Linked DNA regions of Elephas maximus indicus. The protein of the gene in region 1 interacts with the protein of each later gene in a pairwise test. Links are inferred from orthologs where the notes say so. Each region holds a gene or a part of one and is shown in the gene's direction. Other genes may lie near its edges.

Region 1 (7,163 bases):
GATAGGTTGACAAAGACGTGCAGTTGCCAGAGCGCGGAATAAGCCTACGGCGGCAGACAAGTGGGCCACTGGGGACAGGGAGGGGTGTATTCCACAAAGGATGATTTCAGAGAGTCGGGAAGTGTCCCCAAAAGGCAGAAGGCATGGGGGGCCGGAGGGGAGTGCTCGGAAGGGTAACTGGGAAAGCAGGGTGACATTAGGCGTGCGGAGCCGGCAGGGGGCAGAGCAGGCAGGATGTCACGTGGAGTGGACTCTACGGGAGCCGGGAGGGTTGCGTGCGGACAGGGGGGTCTTTCCCACCGCCTGAAACACTGCGTTACTCACAGGAGTCGCGGACTCTTCTTGCCCTGAGCTGGAGACGGGGGCTTCGCGGCCTGGGACTGCTGCCCTGGGGCGTCGGGAGGCCTGGCGCTGGGGCTGCTCCTCCGCCGGCGCGGATACTCGGCCTTCCTCCGGCGGGACACAGCAGCGGCGGCGGCGGCCGCAGCGGCCCGGCCCCGGTCGCGGCCTCCCCTCAGCACGCGGCTGCTAGTGGTCCCCGCAGGCGCCGCCGCCGCCGTCGTCTCAGGGGGCCGCTGCTGGGGCTCCTCCGGAGCCGCCTTAGCCACCGCCGCCTCTCCCCCTTCCTGGTCCTGCTGCTCCGGGGGTCTCGGCTCTTCCGTCTCCCCCGGCATCGGGGCTCGTCCGTCCCCACCCCCTCGTCCCAGGCGGCGGAGGCGGAGGCGGCTGCGGCGCTGCTCCCCCCGCCCCCTTCGCCTCCCGGAGCTTCGGGCTCACTCTCACCCTGCGTTCCTGTTCCCCCTCCCCTCCTCCCAGCTCCGAGGGAGCCCCCCCGCCCCCTGCCACTCACTGCCCGCAGCCGCTGGCGCCGCGCGCGCGCCCGACACGGACGCTCCACGGACCAATCGGAGAGGAGGAACGGCCTTGTGACCCCGCCCCTGTCGGCCTCTCACGCAGCGGCGTACCGGGTTTCCTCCCCCACCCCTTTCTTTGACCAATCAGGAAACGGCTTCAAGGGAGCGCGCGAGGTTTCCTTCCCCGCGCACCCACTCTCACCGTTAAACGGCTGCGTCTCGCGACAATCCGAAAGTGACCTTCCCCCCCCCCCCCCGCTCCGGAGATCAACGGGCGCTAGAGGTGGTGGGAGGGGCAGGTCTCGCGAGGGAGGCTAGTAGGAAGAAAACGCACCTCTTTCCCCGCCTGGCGCGCACCCTGGACTGGCTGCGCGCGCACCTGCCTTAGGAGCCGCTAATGCCACCAGGGCTCTTTCTAGCCTCAATTCGTGGAAACAGTCTGGTCGTTCTTCTGCCTCCACCCTGAGTCCCACTTTCCTGTCTTTGGCTTTTTTATCCCCAGCGTCGCCAGGTCTTGCACAGTGACGGGGGACTTTTTTCAGCTGTCGCTTCTCCTTTAAGAAAAAAAGTCCCGTCGGCTGCCGGATGAAAGTCTCAACAAAATGGCGGTGGTAGAACGGAGGCGGGGTCGTGGGGGTCAATGAGAGCCCGCCTCTTGGCGCATGCGTATGGTTAACTTTCCCAAAGGTACCCTGGGATATGAAGTCCTAGCTACTTTGGCCTGCGGCTAAAAAAAGAAACCGAGACGGAGAGGGTGCTGGTGCTGGTGACTGGTGCTCCATGGGAAAAGTAGTTTACTCTCCGCGGTCCGATTTTACTTTTCTAGGGACTCGACGGCACTGGGTTTTAGGTTGGCAGTGCCTCCGGGGTGGGGCGTGACGCCTGCGCAGTGCCAGCCCAAGTGGCGAGGGAGCTGTTGGTCAGCGAGGGTTGTTTTGGGCTTTTTCTTTAGCGTTGGCGTAATGCTTCTTCCCTTGGCATCTCCCCCGGGGCAGGCTAGGGTTCATGTCTACATTATTCGTGTTGCCATCCTGTTTCTGATCTACTAGCCTGTGGACCTCTGGAAAGCAGGAACTGAATCTGATTTGGCTAGGTCCTGAGGGGCCTAGCGCAATGCCTAGCATTCAGTCAGCTCTTAATAAAAGTTTGTGGAACGAATTATAGAATTGATTCTCTACCAGACGTTGTTAGGGCATCAAGAAGCTGGCGACTGCTGCATACCTTTTGGGTTGTGGTTCCTGAGATGGAGGGAAGGGCAAACGGTTGTTAGCGTGTCTCAGGTGACCTCCCCAGGGAAGCTGAAGGTCTACCTCATGCTTCCTGTCCCGAAGACACCTGCGGTTTATGAATGTTTCAACTGCACAGGAAACACAGAATTGCAGCTTTGTGAGAAGTTATTTGTCTGCCCAATACCGTGTGTAACTAAATTGTCCTGATGCGCCAAAAGGGAGTTTCCATTTGCTCATTTCTAAGTTGCAATCAGTGATGCAGTTGGCCTCTTGCATCTCGTTCTTTCGACCGTTATACTCAAGGAACGATTTGAAAGAACAGTCCTTTAACTCTGGAAAATAAAGCATCCGAGGTTAAAAGCCCCAGAAGGATGAGAATGGAAACAGGATCTGGGATCCTATTCTAGATTTCACGTTAAAAATTCAGTTAAACTGTAGATGCAGTGCAGTTACTTGCCAGCCAAGTGCTGAAGTGCGGTTTTCCTTCCAGTATTTTGGCTCAGTTACCACTTAAGGTTAGGCAAATGTTTTATATTCTCTACTGAGTGTTTTGCACTTTCATAGAACTAATGTCATTTTCAGTTGTAAAAACTGTTTGATAGAGTGTGGATGGAAATTTTTTCATACCCATGCTTGCAGTGAGCAGGCTCTTGGAACAGCACTGACATCCAGTGGTTACTGGGAGTAATGCAGAACGGGAATCTTTTAATTAAAAAAACAAAAAAGTCTTACAGACACAATGGAATGGAAAATGAATGATCTCTTTAGATTAACCTAAAAAGAGAACATTGTGTTGTAGAGAAAAGATGATGGACTTTGAAGTCAAACTGGATTATAGTACGTAGCTAACAAAGCTACCTACTAATTCTGTCAAGCAAGTTACTATCCTTGAACTTATTTCACCGCTGGTAAAAATGGTGATAATACTTATTTCACAGGACCCTAATTGTAGTTCTTTACATACTGCCTTCTCTGACTCATTTGGTAAATTTTTATTTCATTCAAGGTGAGTAAAATCTCAGTGGTAAAAAGGTGAAAGTTAACCTCAGTATCACTTTGCAAAGAAACTGCTCTAAGGCAATGCAGCTAGGCAGGAAGTTTGCTGAATCGAGATGTCACCAGTTTAGCACCTGTTGTCTTAAACCTTCCAGTTTCATTTTTCTTTTTTCATGCTGTTAGCGGCTGTTGAGTTGGCGCTATTCATGGTGACCTTATGTATAACAGAACAAAACAGTGCCTTATCCTGGACCATCCTCACAATCGTTCCTATGTTTGAGCCTATTGCTGTAGCCACCATGTTGATCCATCTCATGTTGGATTTCCCTTTTTACCATGGGGTCACATGAGTCAGTGTTGACTCAACAGCAGCCAACAAAAACAGTACCACTTTACCAAATATGATCTTTTCTGATGACGGGCCCTCTATAGATGTTTGACTTTTGAACCCCTGAAATAAGCCAGGCCCTGGCAATGCAAATGTGAATAAACATCAACCCTGCCTTTTAAGGATTTACAATTTATTCAGGAAAGGGATAAGTGTAATTTCTGAATAATGAAGTAAAAAAAAAAGACAACAAAATGAATTGGGTGCTGGTTAGCTCTGATGGAAATTTTATGATCACTGTGCCTCTATTGTCACCCACGTTCACAGAAGAAAGCAAGTTTCCTGATGTACAGTCACAGTGGGACCCACACTGAGAAAATACACAAGCACAAATCTGCCATTTCCATGACTTAAAGATGAGTTCTGGCATGTAGTAAGTAGTGAAATTTTGCTAAATTATTTTGACTCTTCCTTGCCAGTCCACCACAGGAATTCAAATCTTACAACCTGCCTATGTCCTATTTCATTTTAAAACTGTGACCTACCAAAAAAAAAAAAAAAAAATCACCAAATCAAAAGAGAGGAAGTGCTAAGCAAATACAGGAACCAGAAAGGGTTATAGAGGCTGCTTCATGCTGTCTCATTCAGTTCCTTTGTGGTCCTCTTCTTCAGCACATGCAAAAGCAGTTCCTTACAACCTGTGGGACCAGAGTATCTTGGGTGTGTGACAATGGAAGAGTTGGGTGAGTGGAGCTGCTTTGAGGAGAAACTGAGGGAATGAAGACTTGGCTGCCCTGTCTATGTATGGTGGGATGTACTTCTAGCCAGATTGACAGCAGTACTCGGAGATTTTATTTTCACTTCTCTGCTTTCTTCGGCCAACCAAGAGTGAGACATGAGGAACTATGATTGTTTGGGGGAAAGCCAGGTTCACTCTTTGTAGTAGCACAACAGAGAGCTTGGTGCTAACCACAGGGTAAACTTTACAGAAATACTTTTGGACTGAGTCGTGATTGAAACTGTCATTTTTAACATGGGCATTTTGCCCCTTGGGAGATACAGGAGATTATAGGGTAGTCACACAGCTACAGGGATGCGATTTGGGGGGAAGAAAGGAAGAAAGAAAATGGAGAAGGGGAAAGGGTGTTTTGAGGAAGAGAAATGGAGTCGAAGCACAAGAATGAGGGATCTGCAGAGGCTGGAGAAAAGCCAAGGTGGTTTCGTTTTTGTTTCTGGATTAGTGTTGAATCAGTGATTTTGGCACTAAGCTTTTTATTCAGAGGAATTCTGAAGGAACAGATTACTATGGCCTACAAACATGATACCTCCTCCCACCACAAGGCAATTAAAACCAGCAGTGGAACGATTAGCCACTTTAACTGGGGAGGTCCCGCTTTCAGACCTTTGGAGTAAAGCCTATCATTCTTGGGACTTATTTTTTTAGGCTTTGCCAATGTTTGTTCCAGCATCCTTGCTGACACCAAGTCACTCCCTAACCTTTACCCAATTTCCAAGCTGTATTAATTCTACAGTGTCCTGGGCTTTAGCGTGTTGCAAGTGTAAACAACAACAAAAAACACATATTGGACATTGTCCTTTTTTTTTTTTTTTTCCTAATTGTTTTGGGGGTGTGATTTGAGGGCTGGGCACATAGAGGATGCAAGAAAGTCAAATAACCAAAACCCACTGCTGTCGAGTTGATTCCAATTTATAAAGAGAAGACCGTTGAATGAAGAGGAGAAGGTGTTGTTTAACAAACATCGAACTATTGTTGATGTAAAGTCTATTTTGATCCTTGGGGATAGATGCATTTTGGACTTGGGGTAGAATCCAAATTCTTATCCTGTGTGTGAGGGTTGGGGATATCTACATTTCTGCCAAGTTCCAGTAGTCTCTCTGTCTCTCTCTCTCTACTTTTTTAAATTTTAGGCATACCTAATAGTTTTCATGTAGGTTATTCAAACAGGAACTAATGTTTATTCAGTGTCTCAGGCTAAAGTGAGGCATTTTTATATATGCGAATCATTCTAGGGTCTGCAGCAACCCTCTGTAGTAGGTAATGTTCACTTTTTTTCAGATGAGAAACCAGGAAAAAATGAAATCATTTCTTCAAGGTCACTCTCAGGAGCATCTGACGCCAAAGCCAATTAAGTTACAAGGCATTTCTCCTTTTTTGAAAAGTGCATTGGCTCAGGTGTTCCCCCCAATGGAACAACCCACATAATAAAAAACAAGTAGATTTGCACAGTTTTGCATTTCCTGAGCAAGACGAATGGTAGAGAAATCTGGTCTAGAAATACAGAAAGTACCAAGCAGCCTGGAAGCTAACGTTTGTGTAGATTATCCAGATGGCTACACCTCAGTAGCTGTTGATGTCGACACCTGAACAGCTTCTTCATATTGTCATCAGCCTAATAGCTACTTGTAAGTCTTCGGGTGGGTCCCTCTTCTCCTCTGCAGGCATATAGCACTGAAGGCAGATTAGCACAAAGGGGCAGATATTCCCTCTGTAGAACTTCCTAGGTTAGTAGCTTTTATCTACCCAGAAGATTTTACCTAAATTCTCAATACACAGGTGTGCTACATAAAGGGAACCAGTAGCAGACTGTGAAATTGCAGCTCATGGGGACTCCTGAGAGATCCCACTTTACTCCTTTCTTCTTAATGTTGATATTTCATTACTGGAGGGGGTTTGGAGCTATCGGTGAGATAAAGGGCTATAGAGTTTTCAGTCTTGTCCCAACCACTATCTTCCCGTCCCCTCTGCCACCACCACTGGTAGCCCTGTATTTGTCATAGTGAAATTAGTCATGTTCAAATTACAAAATCTGGCAAGATGACCTCAGTATGTTGGTGATATGTGGACTCACAGAAAACAGGAAGAGAAAGGCCTGTTAACTCACAGCCCAAAAGGGAGAGTTTTAATAATTCTGGCTAGCTCGTGCTTCTAAGCGTAACCCCTACTCTTAGTGGTATGGTTTACTTCTCTTATACAGGGTCTCCCCTTTCCCCCAGCCTTTATTGTAAATGACTTTTTATTTTGAATCCAGAAGGATCTTTGACTTCTGGTTGGAGCAAAGCTTAGAAAATACAAATGAGACAGAATAAAAATTTGGAATTCCTGAATTTTCTCAACCTGCCTACCAACATTCTAAGACAATAAGTCTCACTCTCTTTCTACTTTAGTTTTTTTCTTTCCTTTTTTTTTTTTTATTGTGCTTTAGATGAAAGTTTACAGAACAAACTGGTTTCTCATTTAACAGTATACGTGTTGTTTTATGACGTTGGTTAAGAACCCCATGACGTGTCAACACTCTCCCTTCTCAACTTTGGGTTCCCTATTACCAGCTTTCCTGTTCCCTCTTGTCTTCTATTCCTTGCCCCTGGGTTGGTGCACCCCTTTAGTCTGTTTTGTTGTATGGGCCTGTCCAATCTTTGGCTGAAGGATGAGCCACAGGAGTGACTTCATTACTTGGCTGACAAGGTGTTGGGGGCCATACACTCAGGGTTTCTCCAGTCTCTGTCAGGCCAGCAAGTCTGGTCTTTCTTTTTGAGTTAGAGTTTTGTTCTACATTTTTCTGCAGCTCTGTCCGGGACCTTCTGTTGTGATCCCTGTCAGAGCAGTCAGTGGTGGTAGCTGGGCACCATCTAGCTGTACTGGACTCAGTCTGGTGGAGGCCAAGGTAGGTGTGGTCCGTTAGTCCTTTAGATGAATCATTCCTTTGTATCTTTTAGTTTTCTTCATTTTTTCTTGCT
Region 2 (7,696 bases), on another chromosome or scaffold:
AGGTTTGAGTCCAGACAGCTCCCGGTCAGGCAGGCAGGCGGGTGAGAGACTAGCGGATCTGGCTCCTTGATTGTACTTCGGCCTAGTATTGTCTCTCCTTTCGCCACCTCCGCTTTCTCTGTCTAGGCTCCAAAGTCACTGCAAATTTCCTTGCGACACGCACGTTACACAAAAGATCAGGTAACAACCGCTCAGGGCCATGGAGGCACTGAGCAGAGAGCACCCTTAGCACTGGGGCTACTCGCCCTCCAGTCACTCCCTGCGCTGGGAAACTAGAACCAGTTGGGGGAGCCGGAAATAGCCCCTTTTGCTGCGGGGCAGCGGGGCGGGGGCGCCGGCGGGCGGGAAGGCAAGCCCTGCAGGCCGTGGCGTTGAGAGGGCCACGTTCACAGTCCCTGAGGGTTTCACTCCTGCTGGGCTCGAGAGCCTAACTCCTGGTGTGAAGGGATCCCAGATACCCACCTGGGGTGGGGCAGGACGCGGGTCTCCTCGCGGCAGGCCAGGAGAACTCAGTTTCTTCTTCCAGCGCAGGCCTGAGCTAGGAGGAGTTGTGTGTGGGTGTGTTTTTTCCCAACAAAGAGGGATCAGGAGAGAGAAGGGGGGAAAGTAGAGGGGAACCGGGGAGGGGGCGGGGAGGGGAAGAGGGCAGCGGAGAGGAGGTGAAATGAGCCCATTTCAGGGGGAGAAGGAAAATGAAAGCAAACGGAGCACGGCCTCCTCCGCACAGGGCGGGTGCTGACGAGCTGGAGAGAGGGCTCCCTGCCTGCGGCGGCTGGGGATGGCCCGCTGGGGGCCCCGGGAAAAGCCTGTTTTAAATTTAATCCGAACTTGACAGTGCGGATTGAACCGGAGGGAATTTAAATCACTAAAAGGGAGGCGAGGGGCAGGAGGAGGAACGACTCTAGCCTGTCTTACTGTCTGTCCTTCCCGCGATGCTGGCTCTGGCTTGAGGTGATGGAGTAAGGATGCCCCACCCCCTTAGGGGACTCTCTTGTGCCCAGTGAGACATCTTTTGGGGTGGGAAGGGAGCTCTTAAAACCAGAGTGAATGCAGAGCTCCAAGCTAAAGCTGGGGTTTCCCCCCTCCCCAACAGGGACTCCCAGCGGCCTCCAGTCCCTCCGGGTTTGCCTCAGCGGTGCTGAGGAAATTGAAGAGAGTAGTGGTGGTAAGAGGGAGCTGTGGAATCTGGCAGGAAATTTAGAGGGAGTAACTGAATCCAGGAAGATGAGCCCCTCTTTCCGGGTGCCCCCCACATCCTTTGTGCCTACACACCCACAAGCCTGGATTTGGGGGGACCGTGGAGGCCTGTTTAAGATCTCTGACCTGCCACCCCCACCTCCAAATGAGGAGAATGGGAACTACAACCTACATGCAATTGTGGAAGCTTCAGGCCTGGTGGGCAGGGGACTCCCAGGCTCTTCCACCCCCCTCCCCAAGGCTGCCTCTCTTGACAAGGCATAGGCGGAATGGGGCATTGGCAGGAGGAGGGTGTGGGCGAGGCCTGCTTCCTGATCCACAGCTGTGCCTGCGCCTGAGTGGGGAGGGTCCGAGTTCAGGCTCTGAAAGGAAGGCGACAATCTCCCCTCGGTTTCACGGAGGATTTGAAGGCAGCAGGGAGCGCAGGCCGGGGATCAGGCTGCCTCACTGCTGCCGCCTCCACCGGGTGGGCAGGCAGGGTGTGCAGGCAGCTTAAGAGTTGAAAAGCAGGCGGTGGCCAAAGGGGGTAGGAGAGAAAAGGGCGTCTGTTTAGGAAGACTATGTCTATTTGAGGGGCTTCTCCAAATAGCCGAACCCCATAGAAGAGGGTGACTAGGGGCGTCTTCCCCCCAGGAAAGCTGAGGCTCGGGGCAGAGGGGCCCTGCCTCCTGGAGAAGACGCTAAAGAGGAGCGGAACGTGAAACCTTCTTCAGCTCCTTGACTAGAATGCGGCTCAGCCCCCAGCCGCCTAAGCGACTGCCTGCCCAGAAATGGGGTTCTATATCCCGGAGGCCTAGTGTGCCCACCCAAGCAGGTCGTCGGGAGGGGCAGGAGAGGAGGCCTCTTCCTCCTTTGTGTCCGGACAGAAGTGGCCGCCGCGCCCGGAGCCGGTCCAGCGGCAAAGGCCCGGCAAGCGGACTGCACAATGCCATGGCTGCTCCGCCAGCTCGCGCCCTGCCCGGTCCTGCCTGCCTCTTGCCTGCTAACGCCGCCTTTCCCCAGCCTCTCTCTCTGCATGCCTTCCCTTCCCCGCTCGCTCTTTTCTCTTGCCTTTCTTCTTTCCCTTAATTCGTCTGTCTCTCTTTCTTTCCTAACCCCTCCGTTTCCTTGTTTCCTTCCTCCCTTCCTCTCTGCGGGCCTGGCGCCGCGTTTCAGTTGGTCTGTCTCCGGCTCAGTCTTTCCCAGCCTCTGTCCCCTGACGTCCTCTTGGTCGCAGTCTGGCCCCGGGCCCCGCCAAAGACTAAATGTCCCTGCTCATTGCTTCCAGCAGCCGCCCAAGAGCCGGGCAGGGTCCCCAGCTGCCGAGGGCTGGGGGAGGTGCTGTGGGTCCTGGAGATTTGGAGAAAGCCTCGGCAGGGGGACAGGAACCTCCAGTCTTTTCCTTGAACTAGTGAGGGTTATTTTTTGATTGACAGCTAACCCTACCCCATCAAGGCCAAAGAGATACTCTGTATCTTGCTGCAATTTGGATTTCCTAGTCCTGTCAAGCCTGGTGCGGGGGGGGGGGGGGGGGGGGGGGAGACAGTCAAGCTGAGGACTACCAGGCTGAGGCCCCAGGTTGCCTCTCCCCAGCCAGGTGCTTCCCTCATCCTCCCCATGCCTGGAAATCCCAGCCCGGATAGACCGAAAAGGAAAGAACCAAGAGGGGGAGGAGCAGAGAGTGGGGTGGGGGCCTGGTGGGCTGGGGTTGATGCTGCAGGCTACAGCTCTACCAACCCCCCCAAATCCCCCCCCCAACACACACAGGTACTCTGGGACACCTATCTCTACCCCAGGAGACACAGGTCGACAGAGAAGCAGGAGACTACCAGCCCCCGCCCCCACCCCTGGTGTTTGGTCCCCTCCTGGGGACAAGAGAGGAAAAGAAGGGCAGGCGCCTGGGGTCTGGGAAGCCTCCTCCTTCCCTGCCGCCTCAGAGCCTGTGTCTCTGCCTCAGCTCCAGCCCATTTCCCTGAGCACAGACTGGGTCTCCTCCCCTCTGACCCTGAAATTGCACCCCTCCTTCAAACTTGCTCTGCTCTGCCTAGGGTGCACTGTGTCTCTGGGGATCAATTCTCCATCTCACCTGTCCCTCTCCTCCAGCCAACCTCCCTGCCCCCTCTCCTGCTCCACACTGAGAGTTTCCTGCATATCTAAAGCCTCCTTTTCCTCAGCCATCCCTGGACAACCTGATGAAAAGCAGGAGGCTAGGCAATGAACCCCAATTCAAGGAGGAGGGTAGCAACCAACTTACTGGGGGTAGGACTCCAAGTTGCTTGCTCTTCCCCTTTTAATCATACTGCCCCCTCCGGAATTCCTGCATCCGACCCCAAAGAAATTGCTTTCTACCAGCCTTCCATTGCCTTTTTCTCCGTTCCAAAAACAGCCTACAATTTTATTTAATGAAAGACACATTTATGAACAATCAAATGATCCTCATAAAATTTTTATTGAAGGACGTAAAAACAAGCTACTTGCCCACGACCGAGGTCTCCCTTTCGCCTTCCCCGCGCTCACCCTGGCTCTCTGCAGACAGAGCCTGGGAGCTGACTTCTTTTTTGGGGAGGGGAGGGTGTCTCAGCGATGGAGTTGGGGGCAAAAGAGGGTAAGCAGGAAGACTGGATGGCGATGCCCCACTTAAGTTGTGTAAGTCTCTCCTCTACTTCTTCAAGCTGGCAAAGAAAGATTAGACAATAAATTTAAAATAAAGGTTCTTGCACATCTGTGCCAAGGCGAAGAGAGGACTTCTGAGGCTGATGATAAAGGTGTTTGGGGTCCCAAACCCCCACCCCTCCTACCGCGGACCACTTTCCCCAAGCTTCCCCTACCCCAGATTTGGGGGGCTGAGTTGGCCAGTGGCAGAAGGACGCTCCCCTTTCTCTCCTTCCCTCCCTCCACCCCAGCTTCCCCAGTCCCCTCCCACACTCCCTCCCTCCCTCGCTGCTGCTGCTCCTGGAAGAAATACATACATACACACTATTTAAAAACGCATTTAAAAAAGCCACGTTAGGAATTGACAATCGCTGATCTGGGCTCGCGCAGAGACTGCGGGAGCGTCGGGCCCGACAGAGACAGATTACGTCAAGAAATAGTTCCTCCACCTACCTCGGCCGGCCTCCCCGCCCCTGTGGGGCTCCCGCGTCTGCTCGGCCCTGGGGGTCCGGGGACCGTGGCTTCGGGGACTGGCATTTTCACCCCATTAGAAAATCCTCATGGGGGGGCGGGGAGGCCATCTACTTGTGGGTGGGCATGGGCAAGGGGTTTTCTGATGCTATAGGAGCCTTCCCGAGGGGGTGGCCGGCGCCTTGGGCCCAGAGTTCCGGACCCCAGGAAAACGCAGGTCGCGGGGATCAGCAGAGAGAAGGGGGTGGGAGAAGGAAAAAAAAAAAAAAGCAAGGAAAAAAAAAAGCCCCTGCGCATTGATCCGCGCCGTATTTTTGGGTAAATACGATCACGTGGGGGCCGGGGAGCCAATGAGCTGCGGGGAAAAGGCTGGAAAAATAATTACCTGCCTTGATTGTTCTGTGAGCAGATAAAAAGTACATATACAGTTCATACAATAATCTTATGTATGTAAAACCCTGTTACGATGTCGGCGACGGGGCCCATCAGTAACTATTACGTGGACTCGCTCATCTCTCACGACAATGAAGACCTCCTAGCGTCCAGGTTTCCGGCCACGGGGGCTCACCCCGCTGCCGCCAGACCCAGCGGTTTGGTGCCGGACTGTAGCGATTTTCCGTCCTGTAGCTTCGCGCCCAAGCCGGCAGTGTTCAGCACGTCGTGGGCGCCCGTGCCCTCGCAGTCGTCCGTGGTATACCACCCGTACGGCCCCCAGCCCCACCTCGGCGCCGACACGCGCTACATGCGGACTTGGCTCGAGCCGCTGTCCGGCGCCGTCTCCTTCCCCAGCTTCCCGGCCGGGGGCCGTCACTACGCCCTCAAGCCCGACGCCTACCCCGGACGCCGCGCCGACTGCGGCCCGGGCGATGGCCGCAGCTACCCGGACTACATGTACGGCTCGCCCGGGGAGCTGCGCGACCGCGCCCCGCAGACACTGCCCTCGCCCGAGGCGGACGCCCTCGCCGGCAGCAAGCACAAAGAGGAGAAGGCCGACCTGGACCCCAGTAAGTTGGGAGCAATTTTCCTTTACAACCGGCGCGGGAGGGGAGGGGAGGACGGGCGGGGGGAGCTGGATTACAGCCCCTCGGAGCCGCTCAGGGAGCGCGGGAGAGGGGCGAGGGCGAGGGGACGAGAGGACTCAATAAAAGAGAATTACCTTGAGGAGCTTTCAGGGACAGGAAGGTCTGAGAAGGGGGCCCAGGGAGCCAGGTTGGGAGAGGGCCGAGGGGGGCTCCTTTCCCAGGAACTGACTTTGATGAGAGACCTCTGCCCCCCAACCCCTACCCCAAGCTTTTTGGCTCAGTGACCACTTTCGAAGAAATGCAGACAGGGCCAGGGAGTAGGGCAGAGGCGAGGTTCATTTTATAGTTTGAGATGGGACGGGGGGGAGAGGTGGAGAGGACACTGGGGACAGAGAGGATATACCCTAGGGAGAAAAATCACTCCAACCTCCCAGCCAGCCTGGGGGTCCTCACCACCCCACTAGAGACTCATAAAACAGGAGGTCCATGGACTTTTCCTGCCCCAGGAGCACTGGGGTGAGGGGTCTGGGGGATTTTGCAGTCTGGGAACTTGAAGAGATGAGGACTTCCAGAGTTGGGGGAGAGCAGTGGGATCCCGAGTCTCCTTAAACTTGAGAACCTCTTCTGACGATCTGCAGAAGGGATGGTTGAGAATAGGGGTTAGGGATGAGGAGCAGGGAGGCACCTCCCCAGATTAGAGAATTCTGCGCACACACACACACACACACACACACACACACACACACTCCAGTCAGGGAGACAGGGGCCTTCTGAATATTGCAAAAGAAGGGCTGGGGGAGGTGGAGGGCATGTGGGAGCTGCAGGGCTAGAACAGCGGAAAGAAGGGGAAAGAACAGGGGAGGGATGCAGCCCCCTGGGTGTGAGGAAGTGTCTGGGGGTGTCCCAGGAGGAGGCTGCAGGAAATCTTCCCTCCAGCCCCATAAGGGGCCAGGGCCTAATTATATCCCTCTGAAGGCTTCCCTCCCTGCCCTCAGCTACTCCCATAAACCTGAAATTGGAGGCTTGGCTCCTGAGGAGCCTGTCCTGGGGCTGATAGAAGAGGGACACTGGAAGCCACGCAGGGAAGCTAAGATATAGGGGAGCTTGTCCCCAAAGCCAGCAGCTCTCTGGGGAGGGGAGCAAGGCTTTGCTTGTCCCAGCGTCACCCTGAGAATTCGCCTCAGCAGGGTAGAGCTCTGAGCAGAAACAAGCACTGCAGAGGGTGACGATGGGCTTGGGGACTCTCAGGGTCAGGAAACAGAACTGCTGAAATTTCAGGACTTGGTCGTGGGCTGGGAAGATGGGAGGGGGCAGAGGAGGAGGGAGGTGGGGAGGAGAGAGACCTCGCTATAAAAATAAAAAACAAGAGAGAGAAGCGTTTATGGGCCTATGAAACGGTTGGGAATTTGGACTTTTTATGAGGATATTCTCGAATTACTACTCTTGAAGCTGAGGACCAGATCGTAGGGGCTTTGATAGCTTCAGATTTCCTACAGTTTTAGGTGCTGGAAACTGAAAAGGGGGGGGGAGATAGGGAGGGGGCAGAACGCAAAAGGAGGAAGGGAGAAAATTCCTAAACCAAAACGTGTCCAAATTCAGGTTCAATTATTGGGTTTGGGGAGCCTGGCTAAGCCTGGGGGAAGGGTGACAGGGATCCTGGGCTGCACGGGGGCTCCACTGACCCCTGCCTGTGTTTGGCCCTCCAGGCAACCCCGTGGCCAACTGGATCCACGCCCGCTCCACGAGGAAGAAGCGCTGCCCCTACACCAAGTACCAGACGCTGGAACTGGAGAAAGAGTTTCTCTTCAATATGTATTTAACCAGGGACCGTCGGTACGAGGTGGCCCGGGTTCTCAACCTCACCGAGCGGCAGGTCAAAATCTGGTTTCAGAACCGGAGGATGAAGATGAAAAAGATGAATAAGGAGAAAACCGACAAGGAGCAATCCTAAACCCTGCCCGGGCCTGCTGCCTCGGCACAGCCAAGGGAAAAACAAAACCCCCCAAAAAATACCCCAACCCAAGCGGGAGAGAGCACGAAAAAGAAAAGGAAAGAGCAAGATAGAGAAAAGCTAATCAGCTTAAAAAAAAAAAAAAAGGAAAACTCTTGCGATTTGGGAGGGTTCAGTATTGAGAAATTGGTGTTTTAGAGTTAGTTCTACCCAGCGAGGAGGAGGCAGGGAGAGAAACCACATTCTCTTCCCCCAGCGCAACTGAAATAAATGACACACACAAATGTGTTTTTTTTTTCTCCTTTTTTCAGAGAAGCCAGTACTTGAATCGCTATATTTCTTTTTTTTTTTTTTTTCTTTCCTGTATCGTATTTGGTCCGGGTCATCCTTCTCCAGGCCTGGGGCGCTCTGTGTGCAGACTTTG

The links.
Region 2: the proteins of LPXN (region 1) and HOXC9 interact in binary tests that used the Homo sapiens proteins (3 or more experiments, as listed by UniProt). The two-hybrid records come from large-scale screens. The link is inferred for Elephas maximus indicus from reciprocal best matches to the Homo sapiens genes LPXN and HOXC9.

The regions. Positions count from the first base shown.
Region 1 is NC_064825.1:120,442,026-120,449,188, reverse strand, and holds the start of LPXN (leupaxin), read left to right. Parts: upstream 1-4,159; 5' UTR 4,160-5,779; coding exon 5,780-5,831; intron 5,832-7,163. Other genes in the region: E3 ubiquitin-protein ligase ZFP91, read right to left, coding at 325-674. UniProt on the Homo sapiens protein: Transcriptional coactivator for androgen receptor (AR) and serum response factor (SRF). Contributes to the regulation of cell adhesion, spreading and cell migration and acts as a negative regulator in integrin-mediated cell adhesion events.
Region 2 is NC_064822.1:109,519,538-109,527,233, forward strand, and holds the start of HOXC9 (homeobox protein Hox-C9), read left to right. Parts: upstream 1-4,680; 5' UTR 4,681-4,765; coding exon 4,766-5,303; intron 5,304-7,027; coding exon 7,028-7,272; 3' UTR 7,273-7,696. UniProt on the Homo sapiens protein: Sequence-specific transcription factor which is part of a developmental regulatory system that provides cells with specific positional identities on the anterior-posterior axis.